Linked DNA regions of Oreochromis niloticus. The protein of the gene in region 2 purifies or fractionates together with the protein of the main gene of each other region. This does not show direct contact. Links are inferred from orthologs where the notes say so. Each region holds a gene or a part of one and is shown on either strand. Other genes may lie near its edges.

Region 1 (10,725 bases), on a different chromosome or scaffold from region 2:
ATTTAAGCAAACTTATAATTATAAAGAAAAATCGGGTATTATTAAAGCATTTCACAAAAATACTCTTTCAGCATTTAAGCGCTTCCTTTAATTTTCTTTCCCCATAAAAAGCCTGAATTCACTCCCTGCAAAGTCACTCACTAAAAACTGATTAACCACATTAAATAATCATAATGATATTGAAATAAGTATGATTTCTTTTTTGTTCTGGGGTTAAAAATCGATCGGCCCAAATATGGTAGGTCACAACAGGCAGCTGAAATTTCTCCTTTTGTTTAAACGCTGTTTTGGCAAGATCATGATTACAGCTGGAGGACACTTCAAGCAAACCAGAGTTATGCATCCAAAACCCAACTAGATTGCTACCTTTCCTGTTGTTTTAATAACAATTAGAATTTAAACAGTTGATTGAATAAACTCACTAACTAATCTTTCATAAAAAAATAAAAACTAATGCAGAGAGAGTAAGGTATTTATCAAATGGAAGAGACAGAAGAAAGAAATTCCACAACAAAACATACAGAGAGCACGTACCTTGTTAGTCTTCAGATCATCTTACTGCTGTGGAGAGGGCGCCCCCACCCCACACTAGAATAATAAGGCTACAGCCAAAGTCACTGCAGTAGTTACTGAGTCCTTGTGCTTCAACATGAACACCATTATGACAGACCATAATTTACAGAGGACTCGCACAGGTTCACTGACTCACCAGCTTTCGAGTGAAGCACCAAGGCTGTCATAAATTCAGGATGATCTAGGGAAACTGTCTTTGCGTGGTGGTAAGGTTGGCTAAATCAAGGCCAACTCACACACACACACACACACAACTGAGCAGCACAGTTGCCCCAATGCAAGTCCTCAAGAGGGGGACGCCCAGTATATGTATATAGTAAATGAAGGCTGATACTTACATCCTATCCTGGCAACTTTTTCCAAAGCTCTGAGATTCATCTTGCTTTTGTCACCATATGATCACTATCATAATGGTGGGGTTTAATGAATAGATTAGCTTTTAAGTAACTTTACATCGTCGCCATGCATTTTTGTGTGATGAATGAAGATATGGATCTATAATGGTCACACCTAGATAGTTTGGCAATAGTGGCAGGTGTCAAATCACGCCTGAGAAAGGTGACAAGAATAAACTAGCTGTCTGCCCACTTGTAGTGTTCAAACATTGAAAATAAAACATTTCATATAGTTTAGGGCAGAATAATATGTTTGGTGGTGTTGTTTTAGGGACCGCCAATCTATAGTGGAGTATGCATGTTACTGAGTTAGGGTTAAAAAAAAAAAAAAAACTGTGTCAACTAAATGTGCAAGCTCTAGGAGTGAACTGCTGTCCAAAACCTGAAATGTCAACTACAAGATCAAAGAAGCCACTTTACCTTGTGAGTGTCACGAAATTTACTAATCTCTCTGGAAATCAGGTCCCTCTTGTCCTCCTCCATGTCAATAGTGTTTATGTCATCCTGAGGAAAAACAACGCATTGACAGGTTGAAATAACAATGCTCACTTTCAAGCTAAGGAGTAAACAAAACAGTAGCACAAGTTAACAATTAATCAAGGTCAGTACCTCTTCTTTTTTCTCCTTTTTTCTCTTTCGTCGCTGGGACTCATCATCCTGTGAAGGTGCATTTAGTTCCGCAGCATATTCCCGCATCAGTCCATCGATGGCGCCCTTGATAATCTGATCTTTCTTCTTTGTCTCCTCATCTAACACTTCTTCCTCATCCTCTCCTGCATCTTCACTCTTTTTATCCTGTCAATAAAATGAGTCAAGTTTAGCAATTTTTCACATTCTCTAGCTGCTGCAAACAATTATTTGAATTGCTGTTGGAGTCAAATTGTTAAATATTGTCATTGTGATACTTAAATTTGTAAGTCTTAGTTCAAGCAGCATGATCAAAGACATTCCTTTGTCTCTGACCACCTCTCCAGCCAGTTTGTTGGTGGGGGAGGCTGAAGTGGTTTATTGTAGGGACATCTATGTGAGGGTTCTGTTTTCTTGTGTAGTAAGCCTCCTGCTTTTATGATCCTTTTGTGGGCAGGAGGTCACACAAACGCACCCCCAAACACAAACATACACACACACACTCACACTCACATACACACACACACACACACACACACACACACAATAAGTTTCTAAACCAGCGGGGCCTGTGGAAGCGCAGACCCAACAATTGCTATTACAAAATTCATACCCCATTTGCAGTCTTCTTCTTGGCCTTCCACTCATCCAGCTGTGCTTTTGTCTTGGCATCAACTTTCACAAGTAGGTTTTTATCTCCAATCTGGAGGTCGTGAAGCAGTCGCAAGGCTCGCAGTGTGGACTCTGGCTCCTTGTACTCACAGAAACCAAAAGCTGGAACAAATATTGACATATAAATAGACATAAGGGCATGATCAAATGTTTATGTTTATAGACTGAATTAATGGTTTGCCATGTATCTAGTTATTCTTCATCTTTTAATACCCATATACTGACTAAATAATACCCACTTTGGATTATTAGAAATTACCTTGAAGCTTGCCAGAGGCTCCTTGTACTCTCTTCCAGCTCAAAAACAATTCCACATTTCTATAGAATTACAAAGAAAAAAAATAAAGTTGTCAAATTAAGAGGGTGTCTGCCTTTGCTGGTGTATTTCTACAAGTAGAATGTGTGTTCCCCTCTTACCGCCAGCAGCTGTCTGATCAACATGTCTGAAGCCTTTTCTGATATGTTCCCTACAAACACCGTTGTGGTGGGGCCACTGTTCTCATCACTGTCTTTGGCATTCACAGCAATGGTTTCCCTCTTAGGGACTGCAGGCTTGCTGAGCACTGGTACTGAAGGAACCATTACTGCAGGTGTGGGGGCCATGATACCCATGTGAACTGGGATCATAGGGGCTCCTGAAACAGCCAAAGAAAACATGCAACAAGCAATTACACCATTTTCACTTAAGATCTATGACTGCAGATTAGTAAAACGATTCTCAAATATTTTCAGTAATGTAGCGAATCTCAACTACCTTCAGTGTTGCGAATATGCCTCTTAATAATGACATTGTGGCAAAACTGAAACAAAACAGGTGAACGCCAATCAGAAGGGTGCTTACCTGGGGGAAAGCCTGTGTACTGAGGAGGGATGCCTGGAGGAGGCAACAGCGGCCGATTTAAATGAGGGGGGAAGGACATTGTGGAAGTGAAGTGGACCGACCTGAAGAAGGAACCAAGATACCCGTTATCAGCAGCACCAGATGTGTAATTAAATCAAGTCCTCTAAACAATGTAAAATAAAACAAAGAGCCAAACTTTTAAAACGATTAGTTTAAATCAACAACACTATAAGAGAAAGCACAACGATGTTTATTGGTATCTAGTCATATGAATGTAAAGTACCCGTCGGTGACTTCTGCTGCCCAGCAGCAACAATACTTAAACTTAGCTTAGCTCAATGGGATGGCGTTCGCAGGGTGACTATTATAAAGTCCCAGGACCCACGTATTGTTATTGTGTTACAACGAGTTAATTTGCTCACTGTTTATGCGGCCAAAAAACTAGCAGCTTAGTTAGCTAAAGCTAGCACCGAGCACGCTCCAGTGTCCCCGGCATAGACTTAAGCTAAGCTAATATTAGCGCAACCTGGCGTTACTTAACAAACAACACTCAACTATTAGCGGGCAAAGTTAAAGTTCAAGATAAATCTACACATGCCCAGGTATACATACCTTTAATCAGGTGGTGTTTAAAAGAATAAAAATACTCTCAGAAGGTTAGTAATTATGAAAATTCCTCTAACGTTCCAAATGTTGGATTAGCACGTTGGCTAGTCGGGCCTTCAAAAAAAAAAAAAAAACATTTGACGCAAGCGCTTTACGCGCAACACTACATGAGCGCTGGCTTTGTACACCAAGACCTGACCACTGGACGGAGTTTACTAACGATACTAGTAGCTACTGCGGCAATAACTGTACTACTATTATTACTAGAGTCGTTAGAGTATAGTTTTATACTAGTATTGTAATATTAACATCAATAAGAAAAATCACTACTCTTATTATTATTAATATTTACATAGCATTCCTAAAGGTCGTCTAGAAGGTTAATGAAACATAAGGTTAGGGAGCGTTTGTCGATGTTGAAGGTTTGCTGGGTTAAAAATGGATTTCAACACTATAATACAACTCCTGCACTTGTATGTACTACTTTGGGGAAATTTTAAGACATCGTCAATTTAGATTTTTATTTTTATTGAATTACATTAATATGTAATTCAAAGACGTAGTCTATTATTTGTGCATAGGAGTTCCTCCATAATGTCTTTTACGAATAAAATAATAATTTTGACATCCGACAGAATAAATATCTGAAGATCAATTATTTATTTATTGCATAAGCAGCGTTTTGTTTTTGATGGGTTTTTTGTTTGTTTGTCTTGTTTTGTATTTTGTCGGTGCCTCTCGGAGACAGCGGCTGTTACGTGAAGACTGCGACTGACATCGCGTGACGTCACTTTAGGCGGGATTTTCATGGAAAGTGCTAGAAGAAACGAAGCACACCCTGCATGTTTTTGAATATTCCTCCATCAGATTAAAAAGATCTAAAGTCTTTGTTGGTCTGTCGGAAAATTAACGGTATACTCGTGAGTTTTATTGACTTTATTTGTTAGACTGATTTAAATTATGCTTTGATAGCATATCGCGGCAGCTCTGGAAACTAGTATAAAATAGATCGATTCGGACAATACTTTCGTTTTTGGTTTTAACGGCCACAAGATGGCAGCAATGATGCGCTTGTCTCAGAAATAAAACTGTAATACTGTGTTTTCCAGGAGATTAGTATAAAGTAGTATAAAGTGTTTTTGAATTCACTTTACTAATTAATCTTGAAAAAGTCCCCTTGTTTTTGTATACCTAATATAATGGCTTTAAATCTCCAGAGATTTGTTTTCTTTAGTACACATTACACTTCAATCCACTGAATTAATACCTGCTAAAATGTCTTAATAATATCATATTTATTTATTTAGTTATGGTATTTCCTCAAGTCTTCATTCAAACTCATCACATGGTGAATGTAGCCTTAAAACATTAACTGTAATTCACTTGGTGCACTTCTCCTTACTAGATGGCGCACCGCGGATGGATACGACTGCACAGTGAAGCACGTGTATAAAGATACCGGTCTATTAAAAGGAGGTCCCTTTCCATTTCTCTGCGTCAGACAGCGTAAGGGATAGCGATTTGGTTGCATTTTATTCAAGAAAAGTCAACGAAATTAACAAGGTATGTAGACGAGCGGTTTCTTGTTGGTTACTACGTGCTTTAGCCTTTGATATTTGACCTTTTATTAAACAGTCATTATACAGTACAGCTCGTATTCTCACGAGTTACGGTTGTAACCTTAAGTAACTTTGGTCAGGTACAGCTAACATATCACAGTAGTATTCAGAATTTTGGTTTTTAATTACTGTGGAGTAAGAAATGTTTGCACTTGTCACGTAGACGTCGAGCGGTGTAAATGCTGCACTCTGCCGCACTGCCCCAGCCGTGTGTAGTACCAAGGCAGGTGTGGCGAACATGACAGCGCTGTATCGGTTCATAAATTGTACGACTGGTCCACATTAACAGAATTAATCCTTTTAAATCTTTATAAGAGTAACGTGAACTGGCTTGAGTCGATTTCGCTTAGTCCCCGTGTTCACGTAGCTGTCGCGTGTCTATAAAACGCACGAGTTAGTCTCTCAAGTTGCCAATGCTTTCAGATTTATGCTCGTCTTAAGTGAGTGGTGTTTTTAGCTCTTATTTATTCGAATTGGTGGCAGAGCCGTTTTATATGACAGTCACGTTTGCTGTCGTTAATACACGGCTTTAAGTTGCTCTTCTGGGTGAACCTATTTTGCCGCATTGCATAAGCTTTTTTTCGTTATTTTCATCGGTAGCTTTTCCTTAGCACGTGTTTGCGGGGTCCATTGTCTGTCGCTCGACGCCATGTTGGTTAACGGCCACTTCCGCAACATGACGGCAGTTATCCATATTATGTAACCGACTTCTGACAGGATCAAACGGTGATACAGTTTGCGAAACTGAAAGTAGTTGAATATATGTAGTTTAACCGGATCCCATAATTAGCCTTATCCTGTTTTTATCGAAATCCACCCATTTTATTAAAGCATACACAAACTGTTTTAATGCAGATGCCTGAAGAAATGCACCAAGAAGAGGAGGCTGAGACCTTTGCCTTCCAGGCTGAGATCGCTCAGCTGATGTCGCTGATCATCAACACCTTTTATTCCAACAAAGAGATCTTTCTCAGGGAGTTGATTTCCAACGCTTCTGATGTAAGTTAGCAGGAGCAGAGCTTTTCATTCAGCACTGATGCATTTATTTTTAGCCATTTTTTTGTGTTTCTAAATGCTTAAAAGAATGTTAGTTTTAATCCTGTTGTTTAAACATTTGCAGGCTCTGGACAAAATCCGCTATGAAAGCCTGACTGATCCCTCCAAGCTCGACAGTGGCAAGGATCTGAAAATTGACATCATTCCCAATAAGGCTGAACGCACCCTGACCTTGGTCGATACTGGAATCGGTATGACCAAAGCCGACCTCATTAACAACCTGGGTACCATTGCAAAGTCTGGTACCAAGGCCTTCATGGAGGCCCTGCAGGTATGAAGGGAATGCATCTCAGTATGGAACCGTAGGGACGCTTTATAAGAGGAAAGCATTTTCCATGTTCACAATTAAGCTGAAATCTAACATTAGAACTCACTGTGTTCCTCTAGGCTGGTGCTGACATCTCCATGATTGGTCAGTTTGGTGTGGGTTTTTACTCTGCCTACCTTGTTGCTGAGAAAGTGGTTGTCATCACAAAGCACAATGATGATGAGCAGTATGCCTGGGAGTCCTCTGCTGGAGGTTCTTTCACAGTCAAGGTTGACAACAGTAAGTGTATTGATGTTACAATATCAGAACTAAACCCGTTTTTAAATATTGTGGGTACATCTAAGGATGTCCCTGATTTCTCATGAATTGGAAGCAGTTCTTACTATTAATGGTCTTGATGTTGTTAATTGTGTATTGGTTTTCATGTGTCTGAGGTTACGATGTAGCTTTAAAGTATTAAGAGAGTTGTTTTCAATCTTGGCGTTAAAGTTGGCATCGTCTAGCAAAGTGCGCTCCTTTAGAGGCTTAAATATGGATTTGAAGTATCTAAAAATTGAATCTTGACTCCATGGACACTTTAGTACAAAATGTCCTAAAAGCATCACAACTGTTCACAGGTGAGCCCATTGGCCGTGGAACAAAGATCATCCTGTACCTGAAGGAGGATCAGACAGAGTACGTCGAGGAGAAGAGGGTCAAGGAGATCGTGAAGAAGCACTCTCAGTTCATTGGCTACCCAATCACCCTCTTTGTAAGTGACTCTTATAGAGGACGTTGTTAGTATACCATTAAAGAACGGCAAAGTAAAAATCAAAGTAATGTGAATCTGCAGGTGGAGAAGGAGCGCGACAAGGAGGTCAGTGACGACGAGGCAGAGGAGGAAAAGGCAGAAAAGGAGGAGAAAGAGGAAGGTGAGGACAAGCCAAAGATCGAGGATGTTGGCTCAGATGATGAGGAGGACTCCAAAGACAAGGACAAGAAGAAGAAAAAGAAGATCAAGGAGAAGTACATCGACCAGGAGGAGCTGAACAAGACCAAGCCCATCTGGACCAGGAATCCTGACGACATCACAAACGAAGAGTACGGCGAGTTCTACAAGAGTCTGACCAACGACTGGGAGGATCACCTGGCTGTTAAGGTAAGCAGGTTAACCTGAACAGCTCTTCCAGGTTTTAATTGGCCTACTGGGTTTTTAACGTAGTCATAAACTACAAATAAAGCTAAACGGAGTCATTTTCCTCTACAGCACTTCTCAGTGGAAGGCCAGCTGGAGTTCCGTGCCTTGCTCTTTATCCCCCGCCGCGCACCTTTTGACCTCTTTGAGAACAAGAAAAAGAAGAATAACATCAAGCTCTACGTCAGGAGAGTCTTCATCATGGACAACTGTGAAGAGCTCATCCCCGAGTATCTGAGTAAGATGACTTGCTTTTTACCTTTAGTCTGAAAGTACTTTAATTTACAGCTTAGCACACAGTAAGGAATTGCTTAAAGGCAAAGGCTTAGTGTAGCATTTATGTTATTCCAGACTTTATCCGTGGTGTTGTGGACTCCGAGGACCTGCCCCTGAACATCTCCAGAGAAATGCTGCAGCAGAGCAAGATCCTGAAGGTCATTCGTAAAAACATTGTCAAGAAATGTCTTGAGCTTTTTGCTGAACTGGGTGAGGATAAAGAAAACTACAAGAAGTTCTACGAAGCCTTCTCAAAGAACCTCAAGGTATTTATAATATTCTGGCTACTTTTCTTTTTTTTGTGTCTTTAGGAAAGTTGGCTCTTAAAATTCTCTTCATTTCATGTCAGTGCATCTTCTTGGACCTCAAAGGTTTACCTCTTTATTCTTTAATCTGGTTTGTAAAGCCCTCTTCAAAGTAGTGTAGACTTTTTTGTGTGTGTGTGTGTGTGTAATAACCAGATCTTTAAAACCCAGAAGAATAGCTGTTTTGGCATTTATGTAATCCCATGCAGTCAAATCTGCATTAGGAATAGAAACTTCCCACATTTAGGCTGTAGACTGAAAACATGTTAATTAAAAGCCTAAAGTGACAAACTATGTAGCAGAATTCATGCAGTGTGCAATGTCAGTGTGATTAGAATAGTGACATTGCTGGCAGTCCATCCCACCTGACCATACACAGGTGGGATTGACTTTTTATTTGAATCCATTAACCCTACTGGTGTATGAGATTGTTTTTGGATAAGATGATAAATCTTATTTGTTCACTTGTAGCTGGGTGTGCACGAGGACTCGCAAAACCGCAAGAAGCTGTCTGAGCTGCTGCGTTACCACAGCTCCCAGTCCGGTGACGAGACCACCTCCCTCTCGGAGTACGTGACCCGCATGAAGGAAAACCAGAAATCCATCTATTACATTACTGGTGAGTAAAATAAACCTTAAGTAGCTTCTGAAATGGTAGAAGAGAACTGCATTTACACAAGTATTAAAAATGAAGTTTTATTCAAACTTTATCGCTTTTTTGTCATTTGTAGGTGAGAGCAAGGATCAGGTGGCCAACTCTGCCTTTGTTGAACGTGTCCGCAAGCGTGGTTTTGAGGTCTTGTACATGACGGAGCCCATTGATGAGTACTGTGTCCAGCAGTTGAAGGAGTTTGATGGCAAGACCCTGGTCTCTGTCACCAAAGAGGGTCTGGAGCTGCCAGAGGATGAGGAGGAGAAGAAAAAGATGGAGGATGACAAGGCTAAATTTGAGAACCTCTGCAAGCTCATGAAGGAGATTCTTGACAAGAAAGTGGAGAAGGTCAGTGATCCTAGTGAGAGCCCAATTAAGATTAACCCAAACTTCCCTTCGTGCTCTAGCGTTTAGGGTCTCAAAGTTCACAACTGTGGCTGATAGGATTTTGTTTGGTAACAGGTTGTCTAATTGGTTCCAACTAGTACTGTGGTGAGTTCCTGCAGTCTTGGTGTGATGCGAATGATTTGCATTCTTTGCCAGATGTGGTGCTGTACATGTTTGAAATCTGAACCATAAAGTGAATGCAGTCAAACTCGTGCTTGTTGCAGTAATGTGCATCTAGTACTCAAGTTTTCGCAAGGATTTGGGGATGTAAACTAACTAGACTAGATTTAAAGTTGTAATGTGCTGGTATTATTTCTAACATGCTTGACTAACTTGACTTTGTCTCCTTAAATTATCAGATGTTGTCACCTGAGCCTCTTTAAATCTTAATGTCTTCTGTCTCCTTCAGGTGACTGTGTCAAACAGACTGGTGTCATCCCCCTGCTGCATTGTGACAAGTACTTACGGCTGGACCGCCAACATGGAGAGGATCATGAAGGCCCAGGCACTCAGGGACAACTCCACCATGGGCTACATGATGGCCAAGAAGCACCTGGAGATCAACCCTGACCATCCCATCATGGAGACTCTCAGGCAGAAGGCTGAGGCTGACAAGAACGACAAGGCTGTGAAGGACCTCGTCATCCTGCTGTTTGAAACCGCACTGCTGTCCTCAGGCTTCTCCCTGGACGACCCACAGACTCACTCCAACCGCATCTACAGAATGATCAAACTTGGTCTTGGTAAGAAAACTCCAGATCCTCTTGACTTTCTAGAAGTGGGTATCGATCTAGGTGAGCAACGCTATGCTTTTGTGCACTCAGGTATCGACGATGACGACATTCCCGCAGAGGAGACCACCACTACAGCTGTCCCAGATGAGATGCCTCCCCTAGAAGGCGAAGCTGAGGACGATGCTTCACGCATGGAAGAAGTGGATTAAACAAGATCGCACCCCAGATTTCAACACATAATCCTCCCTTTCCAATTGTTCATCCTTAAACTGTAAAAAAAATAGCTATTAATGTTGTGAGGTGGACCGATATTGGTGCTCTTGAGTGTGGAACAGCACACTGAAGAGCTCTTTAAGAGGCTGTCTTGATTTTTCCTGTAGAAGTTCATGGTGACGCCACATTTGTTTTAATGAGAACCCTGTTGCACTGAGTTTTAAATGTCAGAGCGGTAAATGTGTGAACACAAGTACATTCCACAGTCGCATCTGGAAGGTTTGGGGGGGGGGGGTGCTGTTCACGTGCAACTCTGCACACTGCATG
Region 2 (10,486 bases):
AAGTCAGCTCATTGCTATAACACTTTAAAGCCTACACCCCTAAAACTAGGGGATGTCGTGCTCATTGGGCACGACAACCTCTCCAGACAAGTGTGGAAGCTTGGAAGAATTGAAGAAATGTTTCCGGGTCGAGATGGTCTTGTTAGATCTTGCTTAGTTCGCACGACAACAGGGACTCTGTTAAGAAGACTGATTCAGCTGTTCTACAACTTAGAGCTTTAGATGAACAATTAGTTCATCGGGGGGGGGATGTTGCTGTAACTTTATTGCAGTTTATTGCTTGATAACAGCATTTTGGTTATTTTGTAAATGATTTAATTACTAGCCACATGTTTAGTGAGAGCTGTTAATTATAGATTTAATTTTCTGCTAAAAGGGAGCATTTAATACGTGTGCAGAGATGGAAGTTACTCATGTTTAGCTAGCAAAGAAAAGTTTCGGGAAGCCATTATATGTTGTTCTGATGTCGGTCAGTTTACGTGCTGTACACCCCTTTTTTGAAGTCCTATATAAAGACGATTGTTTCTATAACTGATGTCCGATCCATTTTTTTGGCCAAGTGGATTTGCCACAACAGCTTTCCCACGGGCTGGATATGTCCATCACGGAAATATCTGAGTTGCGCATCTCCGATCACTTTCCTGTGTTGTTCACTCTAACGCTGCTCGGTAGATAAGCGTGTGCCCCAGCGCACAAAAAGCGAGCGCTTAATTCTCTAACAGCAACCACTTTTTCGGCTGCCTTTATGGACTCTGGAACAATGAACTCCAACTGTAAAAGTGTTGAGGACCTTTCAGACATTCTTCATTCTACCTGCACTGATATTTTAGACTCGATTGCTCCGTTTAGGACTGTGCGCGCTAAGCAATTATCAGAGCCATGGTTGAATGAACATACGTGCTCCCTTAGACATGACTACAGACACGCCGAAAGGAGATGGAAAAAGGACAGATTGCACGTTTCTCTACAGATTTTAAGGACTCGTCTTTCTGCTTACCAAGAAGCTGTAAAAACTGCAAAGACACAGTTTGTCTCAAACTTAGTGTCAGTAAACAGTCACAGGCCTCAGGTACTTTTTAATGTCCTTAATAGTTTTCTTAGTTCACGTGATAATGCCGGAGTCATTTCTTCACCAAGTATTTGTGATGATTTTTTAGCATTTTTTAACAACAAGGTTCTATTTATTAGGGCTCTTGTAGGGTTGGGCGATATGGCCTAAAATCCATATCACGGTATAATTTGAAGCATGTGCGGTAACGATATATATCGCAATATATTCTTTTCTTCTGTATAACGCATTTTACACACTATAAGGCACACTTAAAATCCTTTAATTTTCTCAAAAATCGACAGTGTGCCTTATGTATGAATTCTGGTTGTGCTCACTGATCTCGAACCGATTTTATGTCGGACACGGCGCGCAGAAATCTCTCAAAAAATGTTTTAGTAAGACTTTGGTAAGCTATGAAGGCGCACCGATTGATGAATTCCCAGAACACCGGAGCCTTATGGCTGCCGTAGTCAGGAGCCTTGCAGAGAAATCTGGGTCCAAAACTCCGTCTCCTTCAGGTCCCAAAGTCAAACGAACACTGCAGCATCACTGAGAGTTAAAAACTGTGTAAATTCTTTCATCTTTAATAAAATGATCAGCGTTGCTGCTTTACCAGGTGTAACAATTAAGCTTAACATCCAGGCATCCATGAAAACAGAATCTATTAAATTCAACGGAGTTAGAAGTTAGCAGGAAGTTAGCTCGCTAGTTTCCACCTAAAAATGATATAACATGTTCTGACTGAGAGATTTCTGAAAAAATTCAAACGTACAGCTCTGCTATCACTTCCAACATAAATGACATAAATTTCCTGTTGAGACAGGAAACTCAACAGCAGTGACTTTTGTAGGGTTACTGAAGTTGGGCTAGCTGGTATATAATGATCTTCTATGTGATCGCTAGCAACACAGCTACGTTAGCATAACATTAGCACAGTGAAGCTGAAGGATGAATGCTAACTTTTTTCCACTCGATAAAAGTTAACGTGAAGGTTCCTGATGGTTAGGGACAAATGCAATCCCATGGCAGGATGCTGTAAACGGACCAAACTTCAGTCAGGAGAACAACTGAGATAATCCATCCACAATACGAGGTTAGTCATTAATATACTGCAACAACATGGGAATAGAGCAGCTGCGAGGGAATTCAGCATTAATGACTCAATGATACGGAAGTGGAGGAAGCGCAGTTTTTGGCTTTCCCCATATTCCAAAAGTGCTTCATCTCTTTGCTATTACTGTCGTTGGCATAATTTGCAGATGATATTGTTTGCAGCCGCTGCGATGCTTTCGACCAAAACAGACGCAGCTTGATGACACCATCAACATGCGCTATTGCGGTAGTGCGGTATAGTCAAAATCTCTACTGTTGGCCAAATTTATATTGTTTCTACCGTATACCGTTTATACCGCCCACCCCTAGGCTCTTGTCTCGTCGACTGCTGCCTCAGATCCTAGTCTTTCTCCTATGTGCTCAGTTGTCTTAGAGCAGTTTGATCCTGTCTCCCTGAATGACTTGAGTGCGGTAGTTTGTAACTTAAGATCATCATACTGCCCCTCTGATTGTCTCCCCCCAAGTTTGCTTAAAAACACTTTTAATACTGTCGGGCCTTTTATCCTGAGATTAATTAATCTGTCCCTTGCTGTGTTCCATCATGCTTTAAACAAGCAATAGTTCAGCCTCTTCTTAAAAAAAAATAACCTGGACCCAACTGTTCTGTCCAATTACAGGCCAATCTCAAAGCTTCCTTTACTGTCTAAAGTTTTGGAGAAAGTGGTCTACTTACAGTTGCAGGCCCACCTTGATTTGAATGTGATTTCTGAAAAAATTCAATCTGGTTTTAAATCATTACATAGCACTGAGACGGCACTTTTAAGGATTTTTAATGATATTCTTTTAACTCTGGACTCTGGTAGCCCTGCTGCCCTTTTATTGTTGGACCTGTCAGCAGCTTTTGACACGGTCGACCATGACATCCTGTTATGACGGCTAGAATTTCATGCTGGCCTAAAGGGATCTGCCCTACAGTGGTTTCGGTCCTACTTGTCAGGAAGGTCTTTTTATGTCAATATGGCCCCCATAACTCCAAACTAGCCCCTCTTAAATACGGTGTACCTCAAGGCTCTATTTTGGGTCCTGCCCTGTTTGCACTCTATTTGTTGCCATTGGGTTCCATCTTCTCGTGTTACAACATTTCATTCCACTGTTTCGCTGATGATTTGCAGATTTATCTGCCTTTAAAAGCAGGGTCTGACCGTCCCCAGCTCTTATTACGCTGCCTTGACGACATCAAACAGTGGATGTCGTTAAATTTTCTAAAGCTAAATGAAAATAAAACTTAAGTTGTCATTTTCGGCAACTTTGTCAATAATCACATCGATAGCACTCTAGGCCCCTTTTCCTCCTATTGTAAAACACATGTAAAAAACCTTGGTGTCTACCTTGATGGTTCTTTTAAATTGAATAAGCAGGTGAGTGCAGTAGTCCAGTTCTGATTCTTTCAGTTAAGACAGCTGGCCAAGGTAAAGCCATACTTCCCGGCTAACGTCTTTGAACGTGTTATTCGCCTCTTCCTTACTTGCAGGTTGGACTACTGCAATTCATTGTATTTTGGTCTCGACCAGAACTCCATTCATTGTCTTCAGATGGTCCAAAATGCAGCTGCTCGCCTGCTAACTGGGACCAAACGGAGAGAGCATATAACCCCAGTTTTAGCTTCTCTACACTGGCTTCCTGTCTCCTACAGGATCCAATTTAAACTTTTACTTTTTGTTTTAAAGTCACTTAACGTCCGAGCCCCTTCTTACCTGTCTGAGCTCCTTTCTGTTTATGCTCCAGGAAAAACCATGAGGTCTAGCTCAAAATTAATGCTTTCCATCCCACGGACTGATCTCAAATCTCGTGGCGATAGAGCTTTCTCTGTGGCAGGTCCCAGACTTTGGAATAGTCTCCCCCTAAATATTAGACCTGCACAAACACTTGATCAATTTAAATCACTACTTTTTATGCCCTGGCTTTTAACACACTATGACCCAAAAATTTTTGTCTTATTTTAATAGTCTTAGTTATTGTTTTAATTATTTTATTGTCCTATCATTGTTTTATATTGTTATTATTGTTTTACATTGTCTCTTTTTAATGGCATTTTTATATTGTTAAGCACTTTGTGCAGCATCGTCTGTCTGGCTTGCTGAAGCATTAAGAGTTCCTTTTACTGGAAATAACTCCTTAAAAACAACCCCACACCATAATCCCCCCTCCACCAAACTTTACACTTGGCTCAATGCAGTCAGACAAGAACTGCTCTCCTGGCTACCACCAAACCCAGACTCATCCATCGGATAGCCAGAAAAAGAGGCGTGATTCATCAGTCCAGAGAACAGGTCTCCACTGCTGTAGAGTCCACCACTGCTTTAAACCACTGCATCCAGCACTTTGCATTCCATTTGGTGATGTAAGGCTTGGATGCAGCTGGTGGTCATGGAAACCCATCCCATGAAGCTCTTTACACACTGTTCTGATCTAATCTGAAGGCCACATGAAGTCTGGAGGTCTGTAGTGATTGACTCTGAGAAAGTTGCCATCCTCTGCACTCAGTGCGCCTCAACATCTGCTGACCCTGCTCTGATTTTACATGCCCCACCTCTTTGTGGCTGAGTTGCTGCCGTTTCCGATCACTTCTGCTTTGCTTACCACTACCAACAGCTGACTCTGGAATATTTAGTACTGAGGACTTGACTGGACTTGTTGCACAGGTGGCATCCTATCACATTACCATGCTGGAACTCACTGAGCTCCTGAGAACAACCCATACTTTCACAAATGTTTGTAGAGGCGGTCTGCATGCCTGGGTGCTTGATTTTATACACCTGTGACCATGGAAGTGATTGAAACACCAAATTCAGTGATTTGGATGAGTGAGTGAATTCTTTTGCCACAATACTGTATATTGAGCTTAGGAAAATACAATCACTTGCTGCAAGAAACTAAAATGATCCAAAGATGGACAGCAGATAGCTCTCAGATAGCTACTCTGCTTTGCCGTTTCATTTGTACAAGCTGTATAAATATCACAGGAATATCAAGATGGAAGTGAAATGAGAAAAACAAAAAGTGAGATAGCAGCAAAATCTCTGCTGCTCATGCTCACACTCGCATAAACTCTGATATGGAATTTACCTGATACAGGGATCCTAAAAGAGCAGCCGGGGCAGCACACTACGTCCGGTATTCCTGGGAGAGGAAGAACATTCCCACACTCTGGGCAGAAGTTGGGACCACCACCAAAACACGACATCTCTGTTTCATGTAAAGTATTATTGTTATACATTTTGATATTATCAATAACTGTAAAATAGTATCGAATAAAAATTTAGACTGACTTATTTTGCTTTGTCGATTCACATTTTAGAGCTTACCTTCCAAAATAAGTTAAAGCGGTAATGTTGTTTTGTTGTCTAACACTCACTGGAGCAAAACACCGCACGTGGCACTTGAACACGTGAAGTGCAGTCGATTAAATCTGTAACTGTCAACTAACGCTGTGTTCAGCTTTCGTCGTCAGCCTTAGGCTTTAACAAAAGACTTTGATGATTTACCGTTTAATGTCTTCACAGGATTGGCAATCTAAACAAGACGCGGTTTATAGCAAAGATTCTCTGTTGTTACTTTCAGCCTGACATCTGCATGGTTACACACCGTCGGGTCCTACAGCGGTTGGTTGTCTGTCGCGTTCTACACGTCATTGTGACGCGCTAACAGTCGCGCTTTACTTTAAACAGCCGTTGACTTTTCTCTCTCGTAGTGAAGGTATGTCGATTATTAAAAGAACTGTAGGCAGTGCACGTTACCAGTACCTGCGGCAACATGACTGTCACCTCTCTGAAGTTTAATGTTGAGCCGTGAGATGTTCCAGTGAGGATATGATGAGTTCTTTGTTAGCCGCTGAGCTAATTGCAGCTAGCTGTTTAGAATACTTGGAATTTGCTTTTACGGTTATTGCTAAAAAGGCCACTCGCTGTGTTTACGTCAGCTGCCGTAATATCAGACGAGCCCGAGTGAATAACAGACATCGGGGATGGTCCCAGTTTTATGGCGACCGTAGTTTCATGTCGGTTATGATCTGCAGTGTGATGAAGAAATCTTAAAGACATATCAGTACTGCTGGATTTGAACTTTCAAAAGTCAAAACATAACTGCGCGTGTGGTTATAGCTATTTAATATTCAGCGACAATAAAAATAAAAGTTCCGGAATATTCCTTCAAAATAGAAGCTCAAAATGAAACCAGGCAATTGTTTTTTAGCACAGTGGACTGGTTCATGTTTTCAACCTGAGGTGGTGGACATCACTGGAGTCCTTATAGAAATTCTAGCCTGCCGTACAAGTTGGTGCCTCATGTTAGACACACCACTATTCTGGCATTTATGCAATATAAATTAATTTTGCAGGGTGGCACAGTTGTTAGCACTGTTGCCTCACAGCAAGAAGGTCCTGAATTCAGTTCCACCATCAGGCAACTCCACTTTATGTGTGGAGTTTGCATGTTCTCCCTGGGTTTTCTATGAGTACTCCGGCTTCCTCCCACACTCCAAAGACATGCAGTTAGTGGGGTTAGGTTAATTGGAAACTCTAAATTGCCCATGGGTGTGAATGGTTGTCTGTGTCTATGTGTTAGCCCTGTGACAGACTGACGACCTGTCCAGGATGTACCCTGCCTCTTGCCCTAAGAAAGCTGGGATAGGCACCAGTGTGACAGTACCTGGTGTTAAGTATTCTGCTTTCACTCAAAACACTTTGTAACCTTTGTACACCTTTTTAGTTCTGATTGAATTCTTTGTACCAACAATTTAACAGAGTGCAGAAAACATTTTCTCAGAGATTGTGGCCCATGTGGACATCATAACATCACACAGTTCCTGCAGATTTGTCAGCTGCACATCCATTGTAGACTGTACTATTTTTACTCATATTTGTTATCATGCTGCTGTAACACAAACATGTGGGATCAATAAAATATGTATTTATCTACACTCATGTTGTTTGTGCTAAATTCTGACCCTCCCATGCAAGTGTTGTAGCAGACTCATCAAACCAGGCAACGGTTTCCAAGCTTCTGTTGTCCAGTTGTGATGATGTTGTTCAAGTTGTAGCCTTGCTGTTGTGTTGTTAGCGGACAGGACTGGCACCTGGTGTGCTCTCCTGCCTCTGTAAGCCCACTTCATTTATCTTATGTTTTGTTATGATGCATGTCTGCAAGTAGCTAAGCAGTTTAGCAGTCTGGCCATTCTCCTCTGACCTCACACATCAACAAAGCACTCCATGGATATTTTCTCTTTTATTGGACAATTCTCTGTAAACCCTACAAAGGGTTTACACTGGATTTGTGTGGGAAAACCTTAGCAGAGACGTTTCTGCAGTACTCAGATTAGGATACAGGGCGCCAATAATCAAGGTGTGTTCAAAGTCACTTAAATCAGCGTTCTCCCCCATTCTACAGCTCTGTTTCAACTGGAGCAGGTCATAGTAATTATCTCTAAACGCCTAAAAAGCAATTCATCATTTCTCAACATTGTTGACATTTTTCAGTGTATTTGTTTTCTCTCCCCTTTTTTCTCTAATTTTTATGTATTTTTTGAGGAGGGTGAAGAATCTTTTTTATTCTTCTCTGCACTATTTTGGTCTCTGTTTATAGTTTGTTTGGTAAAAATAGAAATGGTTCTTCTCTGAAACAGTGATGAGCTGCACATGTATGTCATTCATTTATACACTGGATTGTATGGAACGATGTCCTGCATGTTTCCAAGGGACTTGGAGACCAGGGTTAATGATGTATGTCTAATTGTCAGTATAATAACAATGAAGTTGATTAGGACTTGACTTTGGGAGGGGGGATTGGGCTGCTGCACTCAGAGCATGAGCTTGAGATAGCTAGATTAAGGACATTTGCTCTCACTGACGTCTCCGAACCAGGAGTGAAAAAAAACCTGAAGTCTAAGCTGCTGGCTCCTTTTTGCACACATGCTGACCCCAATAATTATAACTTTGGCCATGTTGATCCTTTTAGCACTGTGAAAGTTTAAAAGCTCTTTGTTCCTGAAGTTTCATACACCACATTTGTTTTTCTCGTTTCGCAGCAGGGTCAGGATGACAGAAAACGACGTAGATAACGAGCTGTTGGACTACGAGGATGATGAGGTGGAGGCCGGAGGGGCTGGAGATGTTGGAGGTGCAAGTGACGTGTCGATAAGAAAGGAGGGGGTGAAGGGCTCTTATGTGTCCATTCACTCCTCTGGATTCAGAGACTTTCTATTGAAACCTGAACTGCTGAGAGCCATAGTGGATTGTGGGTTTGAACATCCGTCTGAGGGTAAGTAATTGGTGCCAGGAGGAAAATGTGGAACTGGTACAACCATTGCTGAATTTAATCACCTTTTTATCTTCTCTCTGTATTTGAAGTGTCTGATAAAGATTAATGTCAGTTCCTCCTTTAACAGAGCTGTGGTGGGTTTGTGTTGGCAATGGTAATTTTAGTTACATAGCACATTTCATTATGCTCAAACTCGATGTGCTGAACACAGAAGATAAAAACATGAAAATCTGTGTAGGTTTATGTGGTGGGGCGTGGACTGCGGTGCCGTGCGGATGCACCTGCACAGCATCCGCAATCACGCTCACCGTGTTAAAACATGGGGACTCAGGGGTTGGTGGGGTTGTGGTGGTGTGACAAATGTTGAATAAAGATGGCTCAAAACACAGATCTGCGGTCCCGCCGTGCCTTAATTCCACCACACTGGTGCCGAAACCCAGGACGCGGCGGGGTGCGTCCACACGGCACCGCAGACCACGCCCCATCACAGTTTGCAATCTAAATCATTGTAAACCTACCGTGAAAACAGCAAAATAGAATAGAATGCCATTTATTGTCATTGTAAATGTACAACAAATGTATAGGTGCTCCATAGACAGCAGGAATAAATGACAAACATAGCCATATGTACAATCTAGAGGAAAATGTGAAAAAAAAAGACTAAGGCACAGATTGGAGTGCTTGGAAGTGGTGCAAAGGTCTGACTGTAGAGCATGTATGTGAGAGGCCTGAGTGATGAGGGTTGCTCAGATAATGGCTCAGATTGGTGAGGTGGTTGGCAGGGCGTGGGGGGTTTGGGCATAGTGTTTGTTAACTATCAAGGGGAAGAAGCTGTTTGTGAGTGTGAAGGTTTGGGACCTTCACACTCACGGGATGTGAGTGAGGTGATGTAACCATCACCTTTGATGGACCTGGTTTTTCTGAAACAGGAGGAGCTGGCGATGGCTTCCAGGGATAGCAGAGGGCAGCCAGATTTTTTAGGCGGTGTTAATTACAGTCTGTGCAGCCTTCCTGTTCTCCGTCGTGGCGTCTGCGTACCAAACAGCCAGGCAGTAGGAGAGTACGCGCTTCACTGAGGAGCAGTAGAAGGCCAGCAGCAGCTTGTGATCAAGGTTATTCTTCCAAGAACCTGAAGGTGGAGACAGATTCCACCCGCTGTCCATTAATAATAATAATAATGATGATAATAATAATAATAACTTTATTTATAAAGCGCTTTCAAACAAAGTGCTGTACAGCTATTTGAAACTAAAAAGATAAATGAATAAAAGCGATACATAGCAATACAAGTAAAAAACAGTAAGAATTTAAAAACTAGAAGGCATAGAATTAAGACATGTAAGATAGGGTGAACAAATGTGTCTTCAACTTAGTTTTAAAAACTTCCACAGAGCATGCCTCCCTAATATCTTGAGGGAGGTTGTTCCAAAAAAATGGGGCAGGAAACGAAAAGGCACGCTCTCCAATTGTCTTTTTTCTGGCTTTAGGAACCTTTAAAAGGCCAGAGTCCTGGGATCGGAGAGCACAGGATGGAACATAAAGGTGTAAAAGGTCAGAGAGGTATGAAGGTGCCAATTCATTTAAAGCCTTGTTATCATCTTCCTCAAATGATAAAAAGCGGTCATTGTTATCGGTCTGTTCCTCCTGAAGTCCATTATGAGTTCTTTTTTTTTAAGGACATTCAGCTTCAGGTTATTTTCTGAGCAGCAGCGGGACAGGTTCTTTACTTCTGCCCTGTACGCTGTTTCATCTCCATCAGAGAGATCAGAGTGGTGTCGTCAGGATACTTGACGATGACGTTGGGTGGCTGGGTTGGTGCACAGTCATATGTGTACAGTAGGGGGCTGAGAACGCAGCCTTTTGGGGGATCCGGTGACTTGTTTTCATAGCTTACATAGCACAGCTGACATAATGCTTTCCCTAGCTTGGCTGGCTCAGTAGGTAGAGTGGTGGCCCCCTCATCGGAAGGTTGGGGGTACCCCTGAGCAAGGTACCGTCCCTACGCACTGCTCCCCGGGCACCCAATGGCTGCCCACTGCTTCAAAGAGTGAATGGGTTAAATGCAGA
Region 3 (10,744 bases), on a different chromosome or scaffold from region 2:
CCGCACACGGGGGGCGCCGGAAGTGGTAATATTCACCTGCTCTGCTGTTTTTGATCAGTTTGAGCCTTTGTGTTTCGATCAGGTGGAGGAACTATGTATGAAGACGTCATCTTGTCCAAATGATGTTGTTCCAACAAATCTTCTAAAAAAGATTTATACTATACTATACTATATTTAAAAAACCTAATCTCGATTCCTCGGTCCTCTCAGATTTCAGGCCTATCTCGGAGATTCCCTTCTTCTCAAAGATTTGGGAAAAGATTGTGTTTGTTGAGCTGCAATCTTTTGTAAATGGACACGATGTTCTTGAGAGGTTTCAGTCTGGTCTTAAAGCTCTTCACAGCACCGAAACTGCACTTTTAAAAGTTCTTAGCGATCTTTTATTAGCCACTGACTCAAGAGACTCAGCTGTGCTTTTGAATCTGACTGCTGCCTTTCATACTGTTGACCACAGCATCTTGATCTCACGATTGCAGCATCAAGGGTTTTCCATTCGAGTGGTTCATACCTGTCTGACAGGGCTTTCTCTGTGAACTTTGGAGATTTTATCCCAGCTCCCCTTACTTCTGGTGTTCCTCAGGGATCTATAATGGGGCCAATGTTATTCTCTATTTATATTCTGCCTCTAGGTCTAATTTTCAGTAAATATAACATTTGTTTCCATTCATAAGCCGATGACACTCAGATCCACCTTCAACTGAAAAGAAGCTGCTCTGCCCCGCTAGAACCATTACTTCAGTGTCTCAGTGAAGTTAAAGCCTGGATGGCCTCTAACTTTCTTAACTTTAATGAGAACAAAACCAAAGTGATAATTTTTGGACCAAGTGGTAATCCCAGCACTTCTCATTTGAACCTGCACAGCTTTGAGCCTTTTATTAAGTCGCATGCTAAAAATGTGGGGATTATATTTGGCAATAATTTCACCTTTGAAAAATAGATTAGCTCAGTTGTTTTTCAAACTGAGGCTTTTATCTAAGGTGAGATCATTTTTATCTTTTAAAAACTTTGAACGGATCATCTATGCTTTTATTACAATCCAACTGGACTATTTTAACTCCTTATATACTGGAGTTAGTCTAACCTGCCTTACAAGACTGCAGTCGGCCCAAAATGCTGCAGCTCATCTTCTGACACAAACTAAAAGACGTGAACAGTGCAACTTTAGACACCACATGGTTGAATAAACACTTGTTTTTCGAGGTTATTTACTGTTCAAATGTTAGACCGCAGGTCTAGCATTACACTACATTTAGGTGTCGAAAAACGTCCTGGTACGAATGAGTGTACGAAGCTTTTCTGTTCTTCCAAGCTGTTTTTCATCTTTCAGATTAGAATGTCTGGCAAGCAAATAACTAAAAATATTGTCAATAATAAATATAACACTGTGGAAATGTCTTGGGTTTTGTGTCAAGCTGATAGAAAGATAAAAGAGTTTATAGATACAATTTAAGTTTGGTTATTTGCTCCTTTGTTGCCTGTAGACATAACACTACTTATAACTGACGATATAATTGACACTAGACAAAATACTTTACAACTTCACAACTTTATTAGTGCTTAAACAAGCAGCTGTTTTTTTATGTGCAGTTATATAAAGTTATATAAAAAAGTATGTAAAGTTAAATAAAAATGTAACAGTGCAAATTCCTCGCTGACAGTTTAACCAAAAAGCATTTCCAGTGGAAATTGGCCGACATATCCTCAGCATAACCATGTATAATATCCACAAAACTTAAAAAGAGGTTATACACACACAATACGGTAATATTATGTTGAAGCACAGTACGTATCACTCCGTGAGGCTCCTGCCTACGATAGCCGTAATGCTCCAACAATCCATCAAGCGGTGCAGCTTCGTAGCTTAGCAAAGTCGTACTAACACATTTGACAGATTTTCGAGCGCCGTGTACATAAAATCGTTTCGAGGTCAGTAAACACAACCAGAATTCATACATAAGGCACGCGGGATTATAAGGGACACTGTCGATTTTCAGAAAAATCAAAGTATTGATTTTAAGTGTGCCGTATTTTCCAAAAAATACAGTAACAACGACGGCCCGCTAGCATGCTCTACCAAAAATAGTGCTTTGTTGTGTATCTGACAGACGAAAGCTAAACCAGTTCCACACCACTGAAGTTGCAGCAATGTTACAAACCAATTCTGGTTCATCCGTTTCATTCAACGATCTGCTTTCGCCCTTCTCATTCTCCGTCGCCGCCAATCTTTTTCCGCCATGTGCGTATGAAAACAAAGGCACTGCGCATGCGCGTTTTACCCATATTCTATCGCGATATTTTATTATGTGTGCCTATGCCAAGAGGCACACATATTACTATTCCTCGGATTTATTATTCTTCTTATTATTAGACAAGCTTCATATATGTTACCTCATTTTGTGCGGCTGGATCTGGAATGGTGTGCTATGACTTTTGGTGTTTATGACTATTATAGTTTTTTAAATATTAATATTTTAGTGAAAATTTTCCCACGCTCCTCTGCCAAACAGTTTTGACAATAGGGTTACATATGTTACATCATTTTGTGCGGCTGGAGCTGGGCTAGTATGGTATGACTTTTGGTGTTTATGACTTTTATAGTTTTTGAAATATTTAGATTTTAGTACAAATTTAGGCCAATTTCTAGGCTCCTGAGAAAGATTCTGCTTTTGGCACCATAGAAACAGACTTCATTTGTGGTGTGTTGGCTCTCTCTAGTGGTATACCGGGAGTAGTACGGGCTAAAACTTTTATTCTTGTCGGAAAACTCCATATCCCACAATTCATAGCACGCCTCTGCCAGTGAAACAATGGCGGACACCACTTGGATTCTATAATGGTTTTTTTTGGTGTTTCTAGGTCACAAAATAAACTTTTACGATATTTTCAGGCGAGAATGTAGGTGTGTAAACTTCAAATATCTGCTCGTTTTATCAAGACATCCCATATTCTCTTACGTGTTGTTGATAGCCAGCTAGCTAGCGCCGCTAGCCTCTGCCAGTGAAACAATGGCGGACACCACTTGGATTCTATAATGCTTTTTTTCGTGTTTCTAGGTCACAAAATAAACTTTTAAGATATTTTCAGGCGAGAATGTAGGTGTGTAAACTTCAAATATCTGCTCGTTTTATCAAGACATCCCATATTCTCTTACGTGTTGTTGATAGCCGGCTAGCTAGCTAGCGCCGCAAGCTAGCGCCGTTAGCGACCCTTCGTGAAAAAGCACCCAAGTTTGGCTTATAGTGAAGCGGCAGAAAGTCGTGTCAACACCCGATTGCTCGCCAAGGGTCTGTGTTCAGCTGGACTTATTTTTCGTTTATATGGGCCGATGATGCTGGAAACCGAAGGCAGGAGCGTGAGGTGAACTGAATTTCAGGTAAGAAGTTATGAACTGCACTCTATTTGGGTCAGATATAAACCGAGTTTAGGTGTAATTTATTTTCGTTGACCTTTTACAATCGTACTGCCACGGGAGTTTATATACAGCTGTGTGCGCGCTAAGTTACTGACGTTGGACTTTATTTTATTCATAAGGGTTAGTTCATAGAGTCAGAGAAAATATTATGATTTATTCTGTCGTTACGAAGCCTCCCCTGTCATTCTCTCGCGTGTTGAAACGTCAATCATGAAACTGATCAATGATCGGCTGTTCGCTCTTATTTCTCGGGCTAACAACAGCAGCACCTTTAAGCTTGATCAGCTGTTGTTACAATTCTTTTGATTTTAATTTCTAGTATCAGCTGATGTTTGCTGGAGCATGAAGATGAACTCAGGAGATGTCCTTACTGAATCATCAGAGCTGAACTGGTGATGGAGAAACAGGTTTACACTTTAGGTGACATGAATGAGTTGAAGGGAAGTTATGAGTTGTTTCTGAGAGACAAATAAAGACCAGCTAGGGCATTAACAGAGAAAGGTGGACACAAAGATATACTTTTCTTTCTTACTCTCATATAAAATATTTAGCTTTTATTAAATAGTTATCTGAATCTCACAACCAAAGTTTGTATAATAATACACAAGATTGGCTGTAGACCATTGTTCATAATTCAGAACACTGTGTAAAATAACAAAAAACAAAAAGTGAATGCACGGCCGGCTGTGTGGGTAAACCAACCATGTGTGAAAAGTGGTCCATAACGTAATGCTTCAAAGCGTGTTCGTGCAAACATTGTCGGGTCTGCCGTGGTACAATGGGACTTCTGCTCATGAACCTGTGTGCACAGCGTCTGCAAATCGGCGCTGTACAAAGTAACTTCATCTTTACACAAAACTGTAAGCTGTCATCTGTGAAGCGTGAGCGGTGTTTGTTTTTACCATAGTTCATGGTGGAGAATGGCTGCTCTTCTGAGTTTTGCTGTCTGTAGCCGTATGAATGGCAAACTACACTGATTACTAGCGGCATAGGCACACTTAAAATTTCTTCTGAAATTTTCGCTTTCTATTTTCTTATTGTTGCCCAACATTATACCGGTATTACTGTGAACGGTTTGATATGGGCCAGCCCTATTCACAGGTCAGTGTTAAATAGCTGTAACAAACCAACAAAGAAACAAAACAAACCCATTTGAAAATGGTCAGGTATGAGAGAGCTACTGCTCCAGACCATTTTAAAACACGTCTGTCTTCCTGCAAGCAAAAGATCAACAAACCAGGCTGGCTCAACACTTTTTGCATTTATATTTCACTCTCTATAGTTCACAGTCGTGTTGAAACAAACCTTACTGTACACTAAAATGGAGCAGACTGACACACTTTCACCTTCCACGCGTGGATTTGGTGGTGCTCTAATACACAGAGCACCACCATATGTGCAGGCACACAGGCAGGGGCAATCCTAATGTGTTTTCTTTTCTTCATATTCAGTCTATTCAAAATCAAAGGGCAGTTTCACGGACTCAAACACAAGTGAGATTTACAGCTTGTTCCAACACAAGCCAAGCAGCTGCCATTCCACATCAAACTCACCCCACGGTTCAGCAACACCAGGTACCAGCCACACTGGGAGTACCACAGTGGAATTTCCTGGTAACTGGTTCAGCTGGTGGTATGACCCAGTCCTACACATAATCAGGTTTTATGATGTGATAAAAGCTGATACCCTGTTCTAGGTTAACATTTCACTGAGGAAAATGAGTAAGGTCAGTGTTATAAAATGTAACGTCGACAAAACAGACACAGAAGTTTAAAGTTCTTCATTAGTTATTCAAGCTGTCTTCTTGAATACATGTACCAGTTTAATTACTGGTACATGGATAAATGGACTCCTAGGAGACATCCCAGTGAATATTCCAGACTTCACGCTGATTGGGATAAATAACGTACAAAGACATGTATGTGACAGTGCTTACCCATTCGAGGACACGAATAAATCCCAAAGGTTCCTTCAGCGGTCCAAGGTCCAGAGAAAATCCGGCCATTGCTTTCTGTGCACCAAAGACACGCAACCAGGTGTGAACGAAAAGTACCTCTACAAACGGCGATACGTGTTAGTCACCTTGCAGCTAACTGACCCTGCCCTGGTTAAAGCAGCTGCATGCTAACGCTAGCTCACGTCAACTTAGGCACTTTAAAAAACTCACAAACCTGAACAGTGTCCATCGAAGTGTGTAAAAACTAGCAGTTAGTGTCCCGGTACTACTTTTGTCAGTTTGCATGTAAAGCTAACTTCAAGTTGGTCCGTCTGCTTTCTGCCAACGACATAGGAGCTAACAGCAGGGGGCAGTCTCAACTGTGCACGGACCCTACTGTGAAACCGACATAGTACTTCCTGTTTTTACTTTTCAAAATAAAAAGCACACGTTTGAAATCAGAAAGCGATGACTAATTTTTCTTTCAATGTGATTATTAGTTAGCGTTTCTAATGTTGGAGGGAGCGGAAGGTAATGCTGCACAATGCAGTGTGATTTTGACAGTATTTAAAATAAATTGTGTGGATCACAACATAGCCGCGATAGCAGTTTGCACCCTAACTAACTAGATTTGGCCTATCTAAATAGTTCATAATTACTTACGGTGCTTATTTATTTATTTCTACGCCAGACTGTTATTCACTAAGGGTTAGCATAGCAGAATGAATGTCTTTGCTGACATAGCCCCTAGAGAGTGTATAACACTCTTGCTGTAGACGTGATAGAAGTTTTCGAATCTTCGACCTTTCCGTGCGACTTGAACACAGCACGCAGGCCACCCCTTCGTATTTTTATTCCACCGTCGCCATTTTGCTTAAGTCACAGTGCGCTTCTGGTTTTCTTCGAGCAGGCTCGGGTTTTTCTTGCCATATTCTACAAGTTTTCAAATATCTTTTTAAATTTTAAACTGGTAATTCAACACTACATACACTGTTTACATCATATGTATGGCAGTTACATTCACGCGTTATAACACGAACGTGAATACCACGGTAATAAACGGCCGTCTGAACGCTTAGCTCACGATTAGGTCGCTAACCGCCCAAGGTTTCGGTAGGCCTCTGTTATGTACACGAGCTAAAAAAAGTGTTCATCGATTAAGCATAATAATTTAAGAGTTCACATTTTTAAACTAGAGACTAGTTAGCCCGGTTAGCTATAAAGTCATTTTCCTTTCCGACTGGGAGTCACGTAGTTCATTAGCTTTGAGACACTTTTTGTAATTCAACAGTAAGTATATGAATGTTTTCTTGGCTGTCTTGGTCTTTAAATTTATATTTTCCTCGAGTTTGAGATTCGTTATTGTTATCTGAGTGTTTCAGTTTAATTTTTGTTTGTGTCCTAATTAAGATGACGATCATAGTTAAGGCCAATTGTCACTGGCAAGCTAAGGCTTCCGTGTGTAGAGTGAAGAAGCCTCCCAAAACAGTACTTGTAGATTTTCCTGCATGAGACACTAGAAATGTGAAAGTATGTAAGTGTCGAGCAGGCTTGTTTCATGTTGCTGTGTGGAAATGTGTTTGTCCTGTTTGTCTTTCAATAACCAGTGTTCAGTTCCCCGGGCAGTGTTTCTGATGTATTTGTAGGTTTAAACCCATCCTCTTGGCCCTCTTTGGGAATCCCTGGATACGGATAATTTGCCCCCAGTTGATTGGCAGAAGATTTTTTTTTCTCCAGCATTTGGTAATCAAGACATGAAAGTCCTGCAGCGTTTTTCCTCCCAACCTCCAGCATTCAAATGTCACAAAATGTGTAAAATGCCAACAAGCCCAAGAAGAAGCTGAGGATTTTTTTCCCACCAACCACCCCACCTTTCTCATCTTTTTTCCCACATCAGTTAGAGTTTCTTCTATTTTTTCTTGTTCATGCTGTTTATGTCCCCCTACTTATTTATGTCAGTAGCCACACCAAATAGTATCAATGATGATTTACAAGAAATCCCCAAAGGACTTTATTGCATCAGCATCAGTATTGTTTAGCGGTTTGGCAGAGATCAGGATGTCTCAGAAATGGGATGTCGTAGGAAGACTAATGTCTTTGGGAGACCCACCCCACTTTTCCTCTTATCTCATGGATCAAGTGTTCCTTCAGGATTTCCTTACTACTGTGGAGACTCCGTACCAGCTGTGCACTCAAGAGGCAGACCACTTCTCTACTACCTCAGGTAAATGAGCTGCAATGCTTCACACAAAAGCAACATTTTGTTGTTGAAATGTTATAGGCCATCTCACATGAGTACAGGTCAGCTTTACAGATTACTCTCAGTGCAGTTTTTTTGCCTTTTCTACAAATTTGTCAAATTGTTTTTTTTAATTTTTCTTGTGCAGAACATCTTGTTGTTTGTAGGGCTGCCACAAACGATTATTTTGATAGTCGACTAGTCATCGATTATTTTTGCATTAGTCGACTAATCAGATCATGCATCCATTGGACGTAACAGGTACAGCTGATTGCACCAGCAGCATCTGCTCTTATATAACTATCATTAGCTTACAGCTTTGAGTGTTGAAGGTATGTGCTAACTAAAAATAAAGACAAGATGATAGTTTATTAAATTTTAATGACATTTGCAGATTGTTTAGGTGGAGTTTAATAAACCCAGCCTTCTGCTCCTTGCTATCTAAAATATAACAGGACACCGGAGTATATTCTCGAGCATCTCACACTTCTGATAATCAGCTGTCTGCTTGACGTTTATTCAGCTGTGTGAAAACTATAACTTTAATCTCAGCCAAACCGATTTACTCAGGAACAAATAAAATTGTGAAAAAAGCCAAACAATAACATTTTTAAATTACCTAAGTGACTTATGTATCATGTTTAACCTGAGTAGCGAAAGACCGCGGTGGGTTTGAAAATGATTTGCCAGGAGTCCGGTGTTCTCACCGGCTCTAGTGAGCCTTGAACCCCGGCTAGCTATCGAGCTGGTGGGTAACAGACGTCTCTGAAAACGTTGGCGCTCTTTTGAAAATATGTGGTGTCTTGATAAACCAAGCAGATATTTGAAGTTTACACAGCTACATTCTCACCTGAAAATATGTTAAACGTTTATTTTGTGACCCAGAAAGAATAATAAGAGTGATATTAAAACTAACTAGCTGCCGCCATTGTTGGAAACTGATGAATTCTGGGATAGATTGGGCCACGAAGGATACACCCGACCCATCCTTCAAATCTGGGGAAATGAAGGGCGCAATTGTCGGAGTCTTCGAATTTGGACAGTCTTTGTAGTGTCGCTGTAACGTAATTGGCCTACAAATGCGGGCACAGGAGGATGCGGCTCCTGAATTTGGACACAGCTATGATACCGGACACAGCTGCTTCTTCTTCGGAGTGTAACAGCAGCTGGCATCCTTGTACATGCAGTGCTGCCATCTTCTGTTTCAGTCAGTTATTACACTCTTAAATCCTACTACTTATTCCTGCGTCTGTCGGGATCTTACAAAGCTTCAAACGACGCGTCGACTATTAAATTAGTCGTCGACGATTTTGATAGTCGACGTAATCGTGACTAGTCGATGAATCGTGGCAGCCCTAGTTGTTTGACTTGAAATCTAGTTGGTGATGTACAGAGTCTGGGTGAACGTTGTGAGTTGGTGCTTCATAAATAAAATGAACTGAATTAAAAATGGAGTGAAAAAGAAACACTCATTGTGTCATGGGGAGCACTATAACTATATGCTTTAGCAAAAAGGAAAGTTTGAAGCCTAATCTTGAAAGTAGAGATAGTGTCTGTCTCCTGAATCCAAGTGTTAGGAACAACAAGTAAGCCTGTAGTGTGAGAGCGAATTGCTCTAATAGGGTGATATGGTACTACAAGGTCATTAAGATAAGATGGGGCCTGATTATTTAAGACCTTGTATGTGAGGAGCAGGATTTTGAATTCTGGATTTAACAGGAAGCCAATGAAGGGAAGCCAAAACAGGAGAAATCTGCTCTCTCTTTCTAGTCCCTGTCAGGACTCTTGCTGCAGCATTTTGGATTAACTGAAGGCTTTTCAGGGAGTTTTTAGGACATCCTGATAATAAAGAATTACAGTAGTCCAGCCTGGAAGTAATGAATGCATGAACTAGTTTTTCAGCGTCACTCTGAGACAGGATATTTCTACCTTTAGAGATGTTGCGCAAATGGAAGAAAGCAGTCCTACATATTTGTTGAATACATATACAGGGACATACTCTGGTTATTGTCGTGCACCAGGAGGATCCCAGGACCCGCTGCAGCAGCGTAGGGCACCAGTGGTGGACCTGGAGCTCAGTGGCAAATGTCAATCCTCAGGCCACCCTCATGAAGTCTGTTTCTGATTGTTTGGTCACCTTCACATCAGTGGCCTGCTGTAGGTCATTTTGTAGCTCTGGCAGTACTCAGACTACTGCTGCAGCTCTCGATTGTTTTAGTAATCAATTAATTTATCGATTATTCCATCGGATACAATTACAGTGCTGGCGGTGAAGAAAAGCCAGCATATCAGCATTCTGAGGTTCACCTGTGCTTTGATGCAACGTTTTTGTGCTGCTGAAAACAAGACAGAATGATGGTGTAGATGTGAATTGATATGAATAGTAATTGATTGTCCAGCCTAAAGACCCTCAGGTCAGCGAGTTTGACTATTAGTTTGGTCCTCACGGTGTGTGTGTGTGTGTGTGTGTGTTTCCACATTAAACTATGCCAGTGTCATCACTGGTGCTGTTGTGTATCAGTGTGTGGAGCCTTTTCATCCACACCTGCTCCTGAATGTGTTTGTATTGCAGCTATGGGTGAAACGCTCACACATTGGCTCATTACACAGCTCTGTGTTAAACAAAGCATCCAGCAAAGTCTGTTTTTGTTTTGTTTGTTTACAAAAACCAAACCATTTGTAGAGATTTGGGCGACACAACATCCCTGTGTTGTTCCTGGTACACACTGACACTGAGCGTTTAAATATTCCATTGAAAAACTTCCAAAATGTACCAAATGTGTTGGTTTGGTTTGAAGTGTGATGTCTGGTTTCTGTGCTCTGTGTTGTCAGGGAGGTTCCTGTAGGCCCATAAGAGAACCAGCTGCTGGGTTTAGAGGTCGTTCTTTTTCATCACCAGCGCGTAAAACAGCTTTACTATGACCAGCCATGGAGACGACTGCTACTTCTTTTACTATTCTACCTGCAGTAAAGTAAACAAACCTGCTATATGCACACATTGGGCTAGAAAGTGTTGGTGGCCAGAAGGAAGAGTCCAAGCTTACTGTTTGTCTGTGCAGGGAGACAGTTGTCCGTTCAGACACTGTGAGGCAGCTATGGGGAACGAGACCATCTGCAGCCTCTGGCAGGAGGGACGCTGCTTTCGTGCTGTCTGCAA

What was found. Proteins that work in one complex are often made in the same cells at the same time.
Region 1: the proteins of ddx39b (region 2) and hsp90ab1 purify together in Homo sapiens (affinity purification with mass spectrometry, with the first as the bait; 3 studies listed by BioGRID). This does not show direct contact. The link is inferred for Oreochromis niloticus from reciprocal best matches to the Homo sapiens genes DDX39B and HSP90AB1.
Region 3: the proteins of ddx39b (region 2) and zc3h11a purify together in Homo sapiens (affinity purification with mass spectrometry; 4 studies listed by BioGRID and IntAct, with this or other methods). This does not show direct contact. The link is inferred for Oreochromis niloticus from reciprocal best matches to the Homo sapiens genes DDX39B and ZC3H11A.

Annotation. Positions count from the first base shown.
Region 1 is NC_031980.2:14,200,848-14,211,572, reverse strand, and holds the start of hsp90ab1 (heat shock protein HSP 90-beta), read left to right. Parts: upstream 1-6,182; coding exon 6,183-6,332; intron 6,333-6,453; coding exon 6,454-6,660; intron 6,661-6,776; coding exon 6,777-6,936; intron 6,937-7,274; coding exon 7,275-7,408; intron 7,409-7,489; coding exon 7,490-7,795; intron 7,796-7,903; coding exon 7,904-8,069; intron 8,070-8,182; coding exon 8,183-8,373; intron 8,374-8,883; coding exon 8,884-9,031; intron 9,032-9,143; coding exon 9,144-9,412; intron 9,413-9,860; coding exon 9,861-10,194; intron 10,195-10,275; coding exon 10,276-10,394; 3' UTR 10,395-10,725. UniProt on the Homo sapiens protein: Molecular chaperone that promotes the maturation, structural maintenance and proper regulation of specific target proteins involved for instance in cell cycle control and signal transduction. Undergoes a functional cycle linked to its ATPase activity.
Region 2 is NC_031985.2:37,862,865-37,873,350, forward strand, and holds the start of ddx39b (DEAD (Asp-Glu-Ala-Asp) box polypeptide 39B), read left to right. Parts: upstream 1-5,726; 5' UTR 5,727-5,860; intron 5,861-8,186; 5' UTR 8,187-8,196; coding exon 8,197-8,419; intron 8,420-9,906; exon of another isoform or gene 9,907-9,948; coding exon of another isoform or gene 9,949-9,979; intron 9,980-10,486. Other genes in the region: polr1h (DNA-directed RNA polymerase I subunit RPA12), read right to left, coding at 5,231-5,348. UniProt on the Homo sapiens protein: Involved in nuclear export of spliced and unspliced mRNA. Component of the TREX complex which is thought to couple mRNA transcription, processing and nuclear export, and specifically associates with spliced mRNA and not with unspliced pre-mRNA.
Region 3 is NC_031970.2:39,569,160-39,579,903, forward strand, and holds the start of zc3h11a (zinc finger CCCH domain-containing protein 11A), read left to right. Parts: upstream 1-6,201; 5' UTR 6,202-6,318; exon of another isoform or gene 6,319-6,638; intron 6,639-7,499; 5' UTR 7,500-7,572; intron 7,573-10,419; 5' UTR 10,420-10,505; coding exon 10,506-10,559; intron 10,560-10,646; coding exon 10,647-10,744. Other genes in the region: sypl2a (synaptophysin-like protein 2a), read right to left, coding at 5,349-5,423, 5,584-5,598. UniProt on the Homo sapiens protein: Through its association with TREX complex components, may participate in the export and post-transcriptional coordination of selected mRNA transcripts, including those required to maintain the metabolic processes in embryonic cells.